2 linked regions of the Cricetulus griseus genome follow. The protein of the gene in region 1 interacts with the protein of each later gene in a pairwise test. Links are inferred from orthologs where the notes say so. Each region holds a gene or a part of one and is shown on either strand. Other genes may lie near its edges.

Region 1 (7,023 bases):
ATTCCAGCACTTGGGAATTCCAGGAGGCCGGAGGACCAGATGGTCTGTGCTTAAGTAGCCTGTGCTACTTAAGACCTTAAAAAATTTGCCCCTCCACCTGCCCATGCCCCATTTTGCCCACACCTCCACCTTATCATCTTCCAGCCAGCCCTGTGCTCACTGCCCAGTGACCCAGAAGCCCCCAGGCCTCTCCAGGCCCAGCCCACTGCCTGCTGAGCCCCGAGTCTTGAAGCCAGCTTAGTGGCCCCCGCAGAGCCAGGGCAGCCATGAGACCCACTTTCCTTCCTCCTCCATTTCTGCAGACGCAGCCGTGAGCCTCAGCAGCAGCATGGGCAGTGCCAGCCCAGGCCTGAGCAATGCGTCCCCCGGTTGCCTGCTGCTGTCCCCAGATGTAGCGCTGCGGACAGGTGTGGAGAAGTCAGAGGAGGGAGCAGTGGGCCCTGAGAAGCGGGAATGGAGCCCCAGCCCACCGGCCACCCCTGAGCAGGGCCTGTCTGCCTTCTACCTCTCCTACTTTAACATGTACCCCGAGGACGGCAGCTGGGTAGCCAAGGTACCCGCGGCCAGTGCCAGGGAGGAGCTGCTGGAGGAGCCTGAGCAGTGTCCGGTCATCGACAGCCAGGCATCTGGGGGCAGCCTGGACGAACACTCGCTAGAGCAGGTGCAGTCCATGGTGGTGGGCGAGGTCCTGAAGGACATTGAGACAGCATGCAAACTGCTCAACATCACAGCAGGTGAGACCCTCCCTCCCGCCCACCTCCACACGGGACACAGGCGGGGCGGGGATCTGCTAGATGGACTCTGATCACCTTGGGCAGCAGAGACACACAGCAGCTAGAGCCAGGGCCATGCCCAACCGTACCTGCCCTCTCTTAGCGGACAAGAGAGTCCATGCTCTGTCCTGTCACCCGGCTTCCTGCCTTTTCTGAGACTCAGCTCCCCTCTCCGGTCTCCTTTGCTCTGGCTGGTCCTTCAGCCTAGAATGTTTTCCTGTAGATAACTCCTTAGCCCTTCCCTGGCCTTCTTTGGGTCTTAGGTGACTGCGTCCTCATGAGACAGCGGGTCCTCTGTTGAGATTGTATATCCCACATCCCACCCTCGCTTCCCCATTGTCTTGCTGCCATGCTAGGTTTGCCATCTGAAGTTCCGAGAGTATGTTTGTCCCTACCTCACTTTCTGTGTGTACCCTCTAAAGGACTTGTGTACCCCAGTTCCTAGACAGCACTGGACGTGACTTCAGCCTTCACCCTTCAGGGACAGGATACTAGGCAGTCAGCAGGACATAGAGGTCCCTCTGTCTATGGAGCTGGCATGATGAGATGTCATTAAACTGTCAACTGATGGGGAGGACTCTGATGAGGAGTGGTACGGCTGGGGAAGTGAAGTCCTGGCTCCATCCTGCAGCTTTCCCATGGGAAGGAGGGGCTTCTCTTTCCCTCACAGCCAGCTCCTGCCCCCACCCCCTTCTGCTAGATGCCCCCAGGTGGTGTCCCCATCCAAGGCAGCTCCTGTCTCCACTTTCCCACACTCCAGAGAGCCCTACCCCAGGAGGCTGGCTCTCCCACAGTACCTCGTCCCCTGTACCTGCTTGGGAGGGCTATGCTCTCAGAACAATGGGGACAGAAACAAATTGCATTGACCTCAAAGGAGAAAATGGCTTTATGAAGTGGGAGCTGTCTGGCTTTCAGGTCACTCAGCTGGGACACTGGCTTGAACCAGTGTTCCCCTGGAGGCCTCACTGCCACTGTGACCCAGTCTGGTTCCAGCTGTGTGCCCCTGAGAGCAGCTTCCCAGGGGACACATAGCTGGTGAATCCATTCTCTACCCTCCGCTGATCCATAGCCATTTGGGGCAGCTGCTATGAGCCCAGCTGTGTGCAAAGCATTGGACAAGGGATGCACCCCCCATGTGCCTCAGTTTCCCCTTTTCTAAAATTCCAGGATGGAAGGGTTCCCGGGTGGGTTTTCTCCTTGAAAAGAATGTGGATGGCAAGTGGTATCTGGCTGTTTGTGGTTGAATGTCAGTGTCCCCTTCAGAGCTAGGGTCTCCAGAAAGGCCCTGTGGGAGGCTGGACAGACAGACACCTGAACGTGACGGGTTACAGAGGCAGCGAGCTTGTGCTAGGGCGGTGGCTTTTCCTTCTCACTTCCTTTTTTGTGGAATGCCTGCCACCACAGGGCCCCTCAAGGCTTAGGAGCTCAGGGTCCTGGACACAAAGCCCCACATGGGTGTTGGGTGCTGCTCACAAACTGTCCCAGCTAGGATGCTGTCTCTTGCCCAGACCCTGGGGACTGGAGCCCTGGTAACGTGCAGAAGTGGTTGCTGTGGACAGAGCACCAGTACCGGCTGCCTCCAGCAGGCAAGGCCTTCCAGGAGCTGGGCGGCAAGGAGCTGTGCGCCATGACGGAGGAGCAGTTCCGTCAGCGTGCACCCTTGGGTGGAGACGTGCTGCATGCCCACCTGGACATCTGGAAGTCAGGTGAGAGATGAGACAGCTCGGGCCAAGTCCCTGCTAGCTCCAGGCCATTATGCGGAGATCACAGGCAGGCACCCGGTGCCCGGTTCTTACTCTCCCTTTTAAAGGGAAAACCCTTCTTAAGGTTAGCTTTATGTTTTATTGACGAAGGGCGGCTCAGTGGATAAAGGTGCTTGCCTCCAGGCCTGACAACTTGAGTTCGATCCCTGGGATCTGCATGATAGGAGAGAATGAACTCTCCCAAATTGCCCTCTGACTTCTACAAGAGTGTGGGCACACCTGTGTCTCTCTCATCGGCACTGTGGAGGATGCTACAAGTGCTCATTGGGTCAAGGCCCCTTGCCTTAGAGGTCTGGGATGAATGGGGGACAGGGCCCACTCAGGTGACGCTGTGAGCGGTCACTGTCTGCCCCGACCCAGGCACCTGACCAGTGAATGTGACCTGAGCAGAAGGGCTTTTGTCCCCGGCTGATGGCCTAGCAGTGGGCAGAGCGGGTGGCCGCCTGGCTCACTGGAGGGGAAGGCCTGATGCAAAAGCCAGGCCTCGGCGCCTGCCACCTAGCCACAGCCGCAAGGGAGGTCCCTGTCCCATTTCACAGTGAGGAAAGGGAAGCCCCTCCACATGGAGGCGTGCAGTGAGCCGCAGCTCTGACATCCCCACCCCTTGTTAGTACCTTGGGACCCTAGAGGGGCGGGAGGCAGGGAGCTGTGGGCCCCCGGGCACAGGTGTCATCCGACCTCCCCTCCTTGTCCCACAGCGGCCTGGATGAAGGAGAGGACCTCGCCCGGGGCCCTTCACTACTGCGGTGAGCCGGGCAGGCGCAGGAAGGCCTGGTGGGGCTGAGGGAGGCTGCCCGGGAGAGTGGGTGGTCGCGGCTGCCACTCACGCTGCCCCCTGGCTTGCAGCCTCCACCAGCGAGGAGGGCTGGACAGAGGGCGAGGTGGACTCGTCATGCTCAGGGCAGCCCATCCACCTGTGGCAGTTCCTCAAAGAGCTGCTGCTCAAGCCCCACAGCTACGGCCGCTTCATCCGCTGGCTCAACAAGGAGAAAGGTACAACCCGCCCACACGTCCATCCTTCATCCTGCCCGGAGGGGCGGGGCTTCTGTCCCAGGGGCAGGGTGGGGAGGGGAGGCAAAGCGGGGTTTCTGTGGGGTGGAGCAACAGCTGGGAGAGGGGGCAAGGGGGCGGGGCCTCTGGTAGGCAGAGGTGCGACGGGCAATGGGCGCAGGGCTCTGATTGGGGCGTGGCCCCATCCGGGAGGGGCGCTGGGGGTGTGGCCTCGACTGACTCCACCTTCACCCTGGGCCAAATGTGCCCAGAGATCCACACCCCTGCAACTTCAAGGATTTTGAGGTTTAGGGTGCTCTTGGTATCCTCGTTGGCTTCACCAGACTTCCCCCTGTACTGAGACTCCTTCAGCGCCTCACCGTGCCTGGAGCACAGTGCGAACTTGAGAGAAGGGCGTGGGGGGGCACAGGCCTTTAAGGCCAGCGCTAGGGAGGCAGAGCCTGGCCGTGAATTTTACACCACCCCTGTCTACATAGAGAGATCTTATCTCAAAAAAAAAAAAAAACCACAAAAGAGCACAGAGGCGGGGGATGGGGGTGGGGGGACAGGACTGGAGAGATGGCTCAGCGGAGGTCCTGAGTTCAATTCCCAGCAACCACCCGGTGGCTCACAACCATCTGTAATGAGATCTGGTGCCCTCTTCTGGGGTGCAGCCATACATGCCGGCAGAGCACTGTATACATGATAATTTTTTATTTTTATTTATTTATTTATTTTTGGTTTTTCGAGACAGGGTTTCTCTGTGTGGCTTTGGAGCCTATCCTGGCACTCGCTCTGGAGACCAGGCTGGTCTCTAACTCACAGAGATCCGCCTGCCTCTGCCTCCCAGGTGCTGGGATTAAAGGCATGCACCACCAACGCCTGGCCATGATAAAAATTTTTGAAAAGTATTTTTGGTCTTTGAGAGGGCCGAGGTTCCCAGCACCATGTGCTGTCCTCAACTCTAACTCCAGCACCAAGAATCTGATGCCCCCACTCTGACCTCTGCGGGCACCAGGCGCGCACTCATACACACACAAGCAAAACATTCATCCACATGAAATAATAAACCTTTATCAAATCTTAAAAACCATAAAACATCATGTTTTGGGGGCCGGTGAGACAGCTCAGTTCGGGCAGGCACTTGCCACCAAGCCTGAAGACCTGAGTTCAATCCCGCCGGATGGAAAGGGAAACAGTTCCTGCAAATTGTCTTCTGACATGTGTGTACACCAGGGCACATTTTCACATAGTCATGAACAATAAGTAAATGAGTATAAAAAAATCAAAAGAAAAATCATAGTTTCAACCTAGAGAGACTCATGGTGTCTACCAGAGACACAATGTGAACCCTGTATATATTAAATGTTCTCGGTCCAGAATCAAAATATTTAAAAAACAAGTGAATTTCACTTTCATGATGTAGGTTGCCTGACCTTTAATACAAAATTCCTAAATGCTCCCTAAATGCAAACTCTTCAGACCAGCATCATGGACTTCTGGCCAGGAAAGTCTGTCAAATAGTCCTAAATCCTAAAACTCTTAAACTCTGATGCGGTTCTCACCCCAAATTTCAGACTAGGGGTACTCAGCCTGCATTCAATCTAACACTAAGCTGGAATTTCAACCAGTAATAAAAGTGAAATTATTGAATGCGTTTGCACATGCCTTTAATCCCAGTGTCCCAGAGCAGCCAAGGCTATGTAGAGAGACCCTGTCTCCAAAAGAAAGAAAGGAAGAAAGATGTTTGCTGCCTCTCACGGCCTGTCCCGAGCCTAGGGCTGGAGAGGCTCCCAGCATGTATCCCTTACGCTTCCCCCAAAGTGACCCACGGATCTTGTCTCTCTCCTTCCCTCGACCTCCACACGCCCCTCCTCTCTTCCCACGCTCCTTTCCCCTAGGCATCTTCAAAATTGAGGACTCCGCACAGGTGGCGCGGCTGTGGGGCCTGCGTAAGAACCGGCCGGCCATGAACTATGATAAGCTAAGTCGCTCCATTCGCCAGTATTACAAGAAGGGGATCATTCGCAAACCTGACATCTCTCAGCGCCTCGTCTACCAGTTTGTACATCCTGTCTGAGAGCCACAGAGGCTGGAGGCCCACTGCCTGCTCCAGACAGCCACTCTCCTGCTGGCCTGGGCCTTTGCCCAATCGGAATCCCCAGAATCCAAGGTCACAGAGAAGGTCACTTGTATGGGGCTACACATGAGCTCTCTGGGTCCCTCTTCAGGTCATACTGCTCAAGTACACAGACCCCTGGAGGGTCTTGGGAGCTAAGACTGCTCACAATGGAGAAGTTCCCATCCCAGGCTTGGACTGTGGGATTCGTAGAGAACCACCTACATCACACAGAGACCGGACCAAGGCAACTCACAGGACAATGACGTTACTGCTTCCTGCCCCTGCCACCCATCCTGTAACATGACTGGCATGGTGCTAAGAAATGTCTGTACCCTGTGTTGGGGACCCAGGGGTGCCCTAGGAATGGATAATAAACATACAAGATAACTGACAGGTCCCCAGTGTCTGGCTGTGGATGGCACAGCCAAGAGGCCAGCAGGGGTCAAAGGTGACTATGGTCACAGGTGTCTAGGGTGGTGACCACAAGGAAGGTTTGCCCAGGGAGGTGTCATGGAGCCGAGCCGAAGAGAAAAACAGTAGCTGTTTGGTAGATGTCATGGAAGAGGCAGGGAATTCTCCAGGCCAAAGTAGCTAGTCTAGCCAGCCACTGTGTCCTCCTCACCCTGGCATGGCTGAAGTGGGAGATGACCAGACCCAAAGACAGGAAGGCAGCCTCTGTGCCTGCTGTTGAAGGGCAGGGCTTGCTGCCAGGTGTGCCCAGGTATGCCAAGGGTCTGGCTCTCCTGCAAGAGGCCCAGAGCTCTTATATGTGCTTGGCCACCTAAGAAAGCTGAGCCACCTGGTGGGCTATGGGAGAGAGTGGTGATTGATTCTGTTTATGGTCAGTGGCTTCATGAGGATGGTGTGTCTGTTGCCCAAAGGCTTACCAAGAGCCATCTGTGGAGGTGTGAGTCCCTTACCTGGGCGTGAGAGCCCCCTGAATGTGGGGAGCTGGGTGTGCATCTGCCTGCAGGTGGAGATCCCAGACAACCTTAGCAACTCAGGGTATCACACTTCCCTGGTTTCTTTGCCCAAGTCAAGCATCCCAAAGACCTGGCATGCCCTAGCCACTCCCACTGCCTTTTTGTCATAGATCTTCGCAAAACCATGAAGCCAGGGCTATTTCTCTATTCTGCATGTGGGGAACTGGAGGTCCAGGTAGACCATGCAGTTAGCTCACAGTCACGCAGCTATGGATGCCAGGACCAGGATTTGAGCTCACACTATCCCTCCCTTTCCTTCCCAAACAGGCTGGCACCTCAGCCCCACAGCCCTTGGCTTCTGAGGCCAGCTTTCTAGGAGAAAGGACAGGGAGCCAGCACCACTGGGAACACCGAAAGGTTTTCCTTTTTTGTTGTTGCTTGGTTTGGTTTGG
Region 2 (6,601 bases), on another chromosome or scaffold:
ACTTTATACTGACTCATCAATGAAGACCTGTGCCTGGCTGATATCAACATCATCAGCCATCAGCTGCAAATACAAAACTAAAGCTTAAATAAGACAACACTGGACATATGTTAATGGCTGAAGTAAAAACAAATGCTGATGAGGATGCAGAGAAACTGACCCTTGCTGCTTGTGGAAACAGTTGTCACAGACAACTGGAAGAGCTCTGTTTCGCACCTCCTGTGTCAGCCATTTTTTTTTCTGACCGCTGTAACCAAATATCCAACAGAAGTAATTTAGGGGGAAAAGATTTCCTTTGGTTCATGGTTTGAGGAGGTAGCCTGTCATAGTGGGAGGAGCAAGATGCTGTTTGTTCACTTCTCAATCAGCCAAGAGACACAACTTGCTCTCTTCTCCCCTCTTTTTTTTTTCTGTCTTAACCCACAAAAATGGAGCTACATTCAGGGTAAATATCTGCCCTTCCTCACCCCAGTTAACCTTCTCTGCAAACACCCTCACAGGTACACCTAAAGGCGAGCCTCACTAATGCCTTGGTCAAGTTGGTGATCCAAACGAACCATCAAATCACTCACCTCATGACACAGCAACTGGACTCATGGGCAGAGAAATGAGACTTCCTGCATTAGGTTTCTGTCACTGCAACCAAATACCAGACGCAGAATAGTTAGGTAAATAGACAATTATTTTAGTTTGTGAGTCTAGAGATTCAAGTCGGAGGCTTGGGGGCCTCAGATGAAGGCAGCACACATGACAGGAACATGGGCTAGTGGGAGAATTCACACACTGGGGTCAGGAGAGGAGTGGAAACTGGGTTCTAAAATCCTTATGTCCTCCATGACCTGAGGACCTCTGATTTGACTGCAGCTCTTAAAGGTCCAAAGCACCTCTCCAAAGTACAACCCTGGGAAACAGCATTTACCTGTGGGCCGGGGAGGGAGGGTAATTTATCCAGACAATACATACACATGCAATAAATAAAATAAGATGCTACCACGAAGGACATTGCAGTTGTTATTTTTGCAATTTCCTATGAACCTCTAACTATTTCAAGCTATGTATTTTTACATTCTTAAAAGATAACACATCTAGGTAAAATGCAAGAGGAAAGCCAGCTTCTCTGAAGGCCTTTTGGTTACCCCTCTCAGTGTCCTCCGCAGTTGCTGCATTCTCCATGACCTGTTCCCTTTCCTACTCCCCAGATATACAACGGACTCTTCTGAGCAGATCCAGCTGAGTGGAAGATGCCTTAGACCACTGTAGACACATATTGCATAAAGTAATTCAAAAGAACACCAGAGTAGGCTTTGCTAATTTTCACTGAATGTTACTATTTTAGCCCATTCCTTTTATAGTTCATACTATAGGTGACATAGATAGGAAGCCTGCGCTTGAGTGTTCATCTCTTTTTTTTCAGGTTTTTTGTTTTGTTTTGTTTTTGTGGGGTTGGTTGGTTGTTTGGTTTGTTTGTTTGTTGTTGTTTTTTGTGTGTGCGTGGGTGGTGGTGGTGGTGGTGGTGGTGGTGGTGGTGGTGGTGGTGGTGGTGGTGTTTAAGACATGGTCTCATTATGTAGCGCTGGCTGGCCTGGAACTCCCTATATAAGCCAGGCTGAGTTGGAACTCACAGCGTTCTGCCTGTCTCTGCCTCCTTTCGCTGAATTTAAAGACATGCGCTGCCCACATCCGGCTTGAGTGAGTGAGTATTTCTTAAGAATATTGTTTCCTGGGGTCACAGTGCGTGGTCAACTCAGTAAATGTAACACCGCAATACTACTTTGACCTTCCCTGTGAGATTTTTGCTGGTTGTCCTGATGTGTCCCGCTGGGAATCCAGTGGGGGCTGGAGTGTACCGGCTGCCAGGCCTAGGACAGCCTTAAACTCAGTAGATCTGATTCTGCTGTCCATTTCTCTTGTTATTTAAACAATTAAGGTAGGTGGTAGAGACCCGCTTGTTCAGCTCGATGGGCCAGGACGCTTTGCCATTTCTGAGAACTACACTCAGGTCTTACACATAGCGTTTGGGGTTTGTGGCCAGCCTACGGAAAGGGCTTGAGCTACCTATGGTGAGAGGGAAACCAGAGAAGGCTAAGGGCGCATCAAGGAAGGATTCTGGAGCCTACCAGGGGCAGGACTGGCCTCTTCGCGGTCACCTGGAGCCCGCGGCAACCAATCCGGGCGCAGCCGTGTCCCCGCGGCCAATGGGCAGGCGGCGCGGCGCTCCCCACGGGTATAAGTGCGCGCGGCCGGAGGCCAGCAAAGCCGGCGCGCAGTGGAGGCGGGATGCTCAGGGCGGCAGACCCCCGAGAGGCGCGGGTGGAGGCGGGTGGCCGCAGTCCCTGGGCAGCGCCTCCTTCTCAGTCCAAGCGGCTCACCTCCTTCCTCATCCAGGACATCTTGCGGGACCGCGCGGAGCGGCGCGGGGGACACGTGAGCAGCCCGCAGCACCCGCGCCAGTCGGACCCGAGGAGTGACCGCGCACCAGACCCGGAGGAAGCAGGAGGTCGCGGCGTGGCTCTAGCGGACCAGCCAAATACCCGACCCGGCCCCGCGGAGACGCTGGCTGAACCCGAGACAGGTAAGCAGAATAGACCTAGAGGTGGGCGCGCTACACTGAAGAAGACTATTCCCAGGCGGGTGGCCCCGAGCTCTGGATGCAGGCGTGCGGGGCCCGTGGCCACCGGAAGGACTTCACCGTCCTCGGCACCGAGCCACGTTGGGCATCAGTCTTGAGGGCTGCTAACAACTTTGCCATCTGCTTGACTCTTTTCCAGCGACTCCAGCCGGTTACCGCTGGCGACTAGAACTAAACGATAAACAAATAGTGACCCATGAATATTCATAAATCAAGCTCATCCCCAGGCTCCCTTTGCGTTTCCATTCCACGAGCTATAAAATTATGGATGTTCCTTTAAGTCTTTAAAATAACGTCGAGTCGGCTTTTGCCGTCGCCCCACCCCCACCCCATCACTTCTTATGCAGGTAACTAAGCCTCTGTTATAGAAAGAGGATTGGGATAGAAGATGAACTGGCCACCAGCCCAGGCCACCAGGCTCATCTCCATAAGCCCTAGTCACCCACTTAAATGCCCCCCGTGACGCCTCGGTTTCCTTGTTGGCGCCTCCCATCTCTCTGCTACACACACGTATCCAGATTCCTGTTTTCAATGACATAAGAAAACATAGCAGAAAGTTTAACTGTAAAACACTAAGCCCTACGCTTAGTTCACACTGATTATTAGAAACGAATTCATAGTATAAAAACCTACTCATTTCTCCTTTGGGGTAGTTCCATAGTCAGGCGTGGGGGGGGGTGTAAAAAAAAAAAAAAAAGAGGACAGTGGTTGTTTGTTCGCTGGCCAAAAGCAGAAAGGTGATTTGAATTCTGGACTAACGTGTAACTTTTTTTCTTCTCCTGCCCCCTCTGCTCTTCTCCAGATGGGCATTTTGAGACTTATCTGTTGGACTGTGAACACACTCCAGGAGACTTATCAAGCACCCCCCAGGTCCCCAAGCCGCCTCAGAAGCGCTCCAGGGCTGCTTTCTCTCACACTCAGGTGATTGAGCTGGAGAGGAAGTTCAGCCATCAAAAATACCTGTCTGCTCCTGAAAGGGCTCATCTGGCCAAGAACCTCAAACTCACCGAGACCCAAGTGAAAATATGGTTCCAGAATAGACGCTATAAGACTAAGCGAAAGCAACTGGCAGAAGACCTGGGAGTCTTGGAGAAGAGCTCACCTTTATCTTTGCCAGCCCTGAAAGAAGACAGCCTATCCAGCACCTCATTGGTCTCCATGTACACCAGCTACCCCTATTACCCGTACCTCTATTGTCTGGGCAGCTGGCGTCCAACTTTCTGGTAACAGCAGTTCTGATGACAACTTCATAGATCAGAAACTGCCTTCCCGGAGAGTCTCTGGGGAAAAGACGGAATGGCTGAGGTCAAGGAGATGGGAACAGGACGTGTACAGACCCAAACGGTTGGGGGTTCCCAGGGAATGTTCCAATTCTTCTCTGGTGGGTCAGTGAAAGATCGGGGGCAGTGGCTATTTTTAGTATCTAGTCACACAGTTCCAAGTGTTCTGTAGGTCACTGCTCTCTGCTCCCTGTCTGGAGAGGGCCAGACAAGTTCATCTGTTTCTAGACCTCAGCATGACTTTGGATGCAATGGCTACAAGGTTCCTAAGAATTCTGTCCCTGCAACCTCATCCTCTCCCATATCTGAGCACCACATAAAGGCCAAGGGAAGAAGGACCCCTTAGATGCGGGTGTCCTCTTGAATTAAACTTGGGTTAAAACATCTCCTGTTGGCCTTGAACAATGGCCAGTGTTTCTCTCTGCCCTTGTAAAAGTGAGGGTAAATGGAAGATTTGAAGAAAAAGAAAACAGACCTTAGCGACTGAGGCAGGTTGGCATGGGGCATAAAGGGGGTGGGAGATGGAATGTTTAACCTCTTAACTCTTTTTGCAGTAATATACCAATTCAAGGATTTACAGGGCACCCTGAGTGGAGCAGGGTGCACACAGTAAGGGGTTTAAGACAAGCTGTGTAAACAGTTTGCCTGCCAGGGTGGGCCTTGAAACAGGCTCTTCCTGTCCAAGGCAGGGCCTAGGGAGTTTCCACACTTCAGGTGAGCGCCTCAGTGGTGACTGACTGAAGAAAAGGCCTCTGCCCACCCTTCCTGCCTTCACAGAGAGCTTAGTGGGGAGCTTTCAGGTCTGGGTTCACACTTCATTATGACAGAAGCAATAGCATTTTATAACAAAGGATCTTCCTTTTTTTTTCCTTCTTTCCTTCAGGACTTCTCAGTTCAGGCTTTTAATCTATGCATGTGTATCTTATTTAGCTTAAGATATGCAAACCCCCCTCAAGTTTTATCTTTCCTGGTTTAAAAAAAATAACTACAGATTATAAATTGACCAAAAGACATAATTAAAAAAAAACTAGCAACTTTCTTTCCTTTAAAAATACTCAACATCAAATTCCTTTTTAAAGACATGAGAGTTGAAGATCACAGCAGCTTCACAGGGCTGTGGGCTAGGTATTACAGTTCAAAGGCTTACAGCCTTGGGGTCCTGGGGATCCCTTTAGGCAGAGGAGGTTTAGTGCTGTCCAGTTCTCATGCAGAAGGAAAAACAGTACAAAGCAAGGGATCTAAGAGAGGTGGACAGGCCCTGGGCAGGGCATGGCTGTCAGCCCAGGCCAACCAGCAAGCAAGGGGCTGGTAGCTTTGCAGGAAGATGTTCTAAGGAAAGAGAAACTGTCTTCAAAATGCACCATCACGGTGGCTTCATCCACAGATAAACCGTGTAAATGCTCTGGAGAACTGTGTAGATGGCAAAAGAATGTCAGCCCTTCCATTTCCATCCTGTTGCCTCAGGTAACCTGATGAATGGGAGACATGGAAGGTAGGGTACAACTATTACAAACGAGGCTTTCTGGGGCCAGGAAATCCCTTTATCCTACCACTCAATTCTGTGCCATGAGACATCTTTTAATTTCCTCCTTCTAAATGGGCCAATTTACTGGTGGTGGCAAAACTGCCAAAGGAGTTGATAGAAATTTGGCCCCTTGCACCTGGTATTTTGTTTTTTAAACAGCCTAGGAACCATGTTAAAGTATTGTTTGCTGCCTCCTGCTGCTGACCACTGTGGCAGTGCTAGATCACACAAAAGGCAGAGGAGTCCAGTTCACTTCTCCTTTTAATCTGTGGGTTTTTTTTTTTAAATCATGTTAGTGCTGGCTTTCTCTCTCATTCTGAATTGAATCCTTTTCGGCATGAACTTTCCCAAGGATTAAACTGCAGCAGTGCACAGTGTGTGGCAAAAAAAAAAGAAAAGAAAAGAAGGGAAAGCTTGTGTTTAAAATTATTTTGACTCCGTTTTGCTTTCTCACCACTGGAACTAGTCACTCACCTACACCTGAACTGGTGGAAAATATTGAAACATTATCTGTTGTCTGGAACATGTGAATGGGATGATGCCTGGACCATATTACTGGGTGACCAATCTCTATCCTGTTTCATAAATCAGCAAATCCCACTCTGATCTGTGACATAAAAGTTTTATGACTTGAAGTTTGGTAAAGCACTCTAATCAAGCTTTATTTTTCTATGTATTTTTTGCAACATGTGAGTGTTTTTAAAATAAAGTCTTCATGTCTTTATTAAACACCTGTGTGTGGTTTTTAGCTTCTTACAAATAGTTTCTTTTTAGTGTGTTTTCCCAGTGACCATGTTCTCACAGCACCTTTGGCTGGGCTGGCCTGACAAACACAGGAGCCATCCATCTAAGTGGCAATGCAGCACACAGCCAATGAGGGCCACTCTTTTAGCAGTGGCTTTTCCTCCCACCCTGGTAAATCAAGAGGAGAAAAAAGCTACTCCTGCCTGTGCTGGATAACCACCTGCAGCAGGTGTTGTTGCTGCACCTGTAATCCCAACACTCAGAAGGTAGAAGCAGCAGGATCACAAGTTCAAAGCCATTTTTTGCCTACATAGTGAGTTTGAGATCAACCTACTACATGAGATCCTGTCTCAAAAAACAAAAGACCTCAAAAATAAAAATACTAGGTCTTGAGATACCGTGTATGTAAATGAAAACTGTTCA

The links.
Region 2: the proteins of Spdef (region 1) and Nkx3-1 interact in a two-hybrid assay, tested with the Homo sapiens proteins (2 studies listed by BioGRID). The link is inferred for Cricetulus griseus from reciprocal best matches to the Homo sapiens genes SPDEF and NKX3-1.

Annotation. Positions count from the first base shown.
Region 1 is NW_023276806.1:232,852,877-232,859,899, reverse strand, and holds the end of Spdef (SAM pointed domain-containing Ets transcription factor), read left to right. Parts: intron 1-302; 5' UTR 303-328; coding exon 329-734; intron 735-2,281; coding exon 2,282-2,479; intron 2,480-3,234; coding exon 3,235-3,282; intron 3,283-3,382; coding exon 3,383-3,529; intron 3,530-5,427; coding exon 5,428-5,606; 3' UTR 5,607-6,036; downstream 6,037-7,023. UniProt on the Homo sapiens protein: May function as an androgen-independent transactivator of the prostate-specific antigen (PSA) promoter. Binds to 5'-GGAT-3' DNA sequences. May play a role in the regulation of the prostate gland and/or prostate cancer development.
Region 2 is NW_023276807.1:224,107,244-224,113,844, forward strand, and holds Nkx3-1 (homeobox protein Nkx-3.1), read left to right. Parts: upstream 1-2,277; coding exon 2,278-2,572; intron 2,573-3,431; coding exon 3,432-3,856; downstream 3,857-6,601.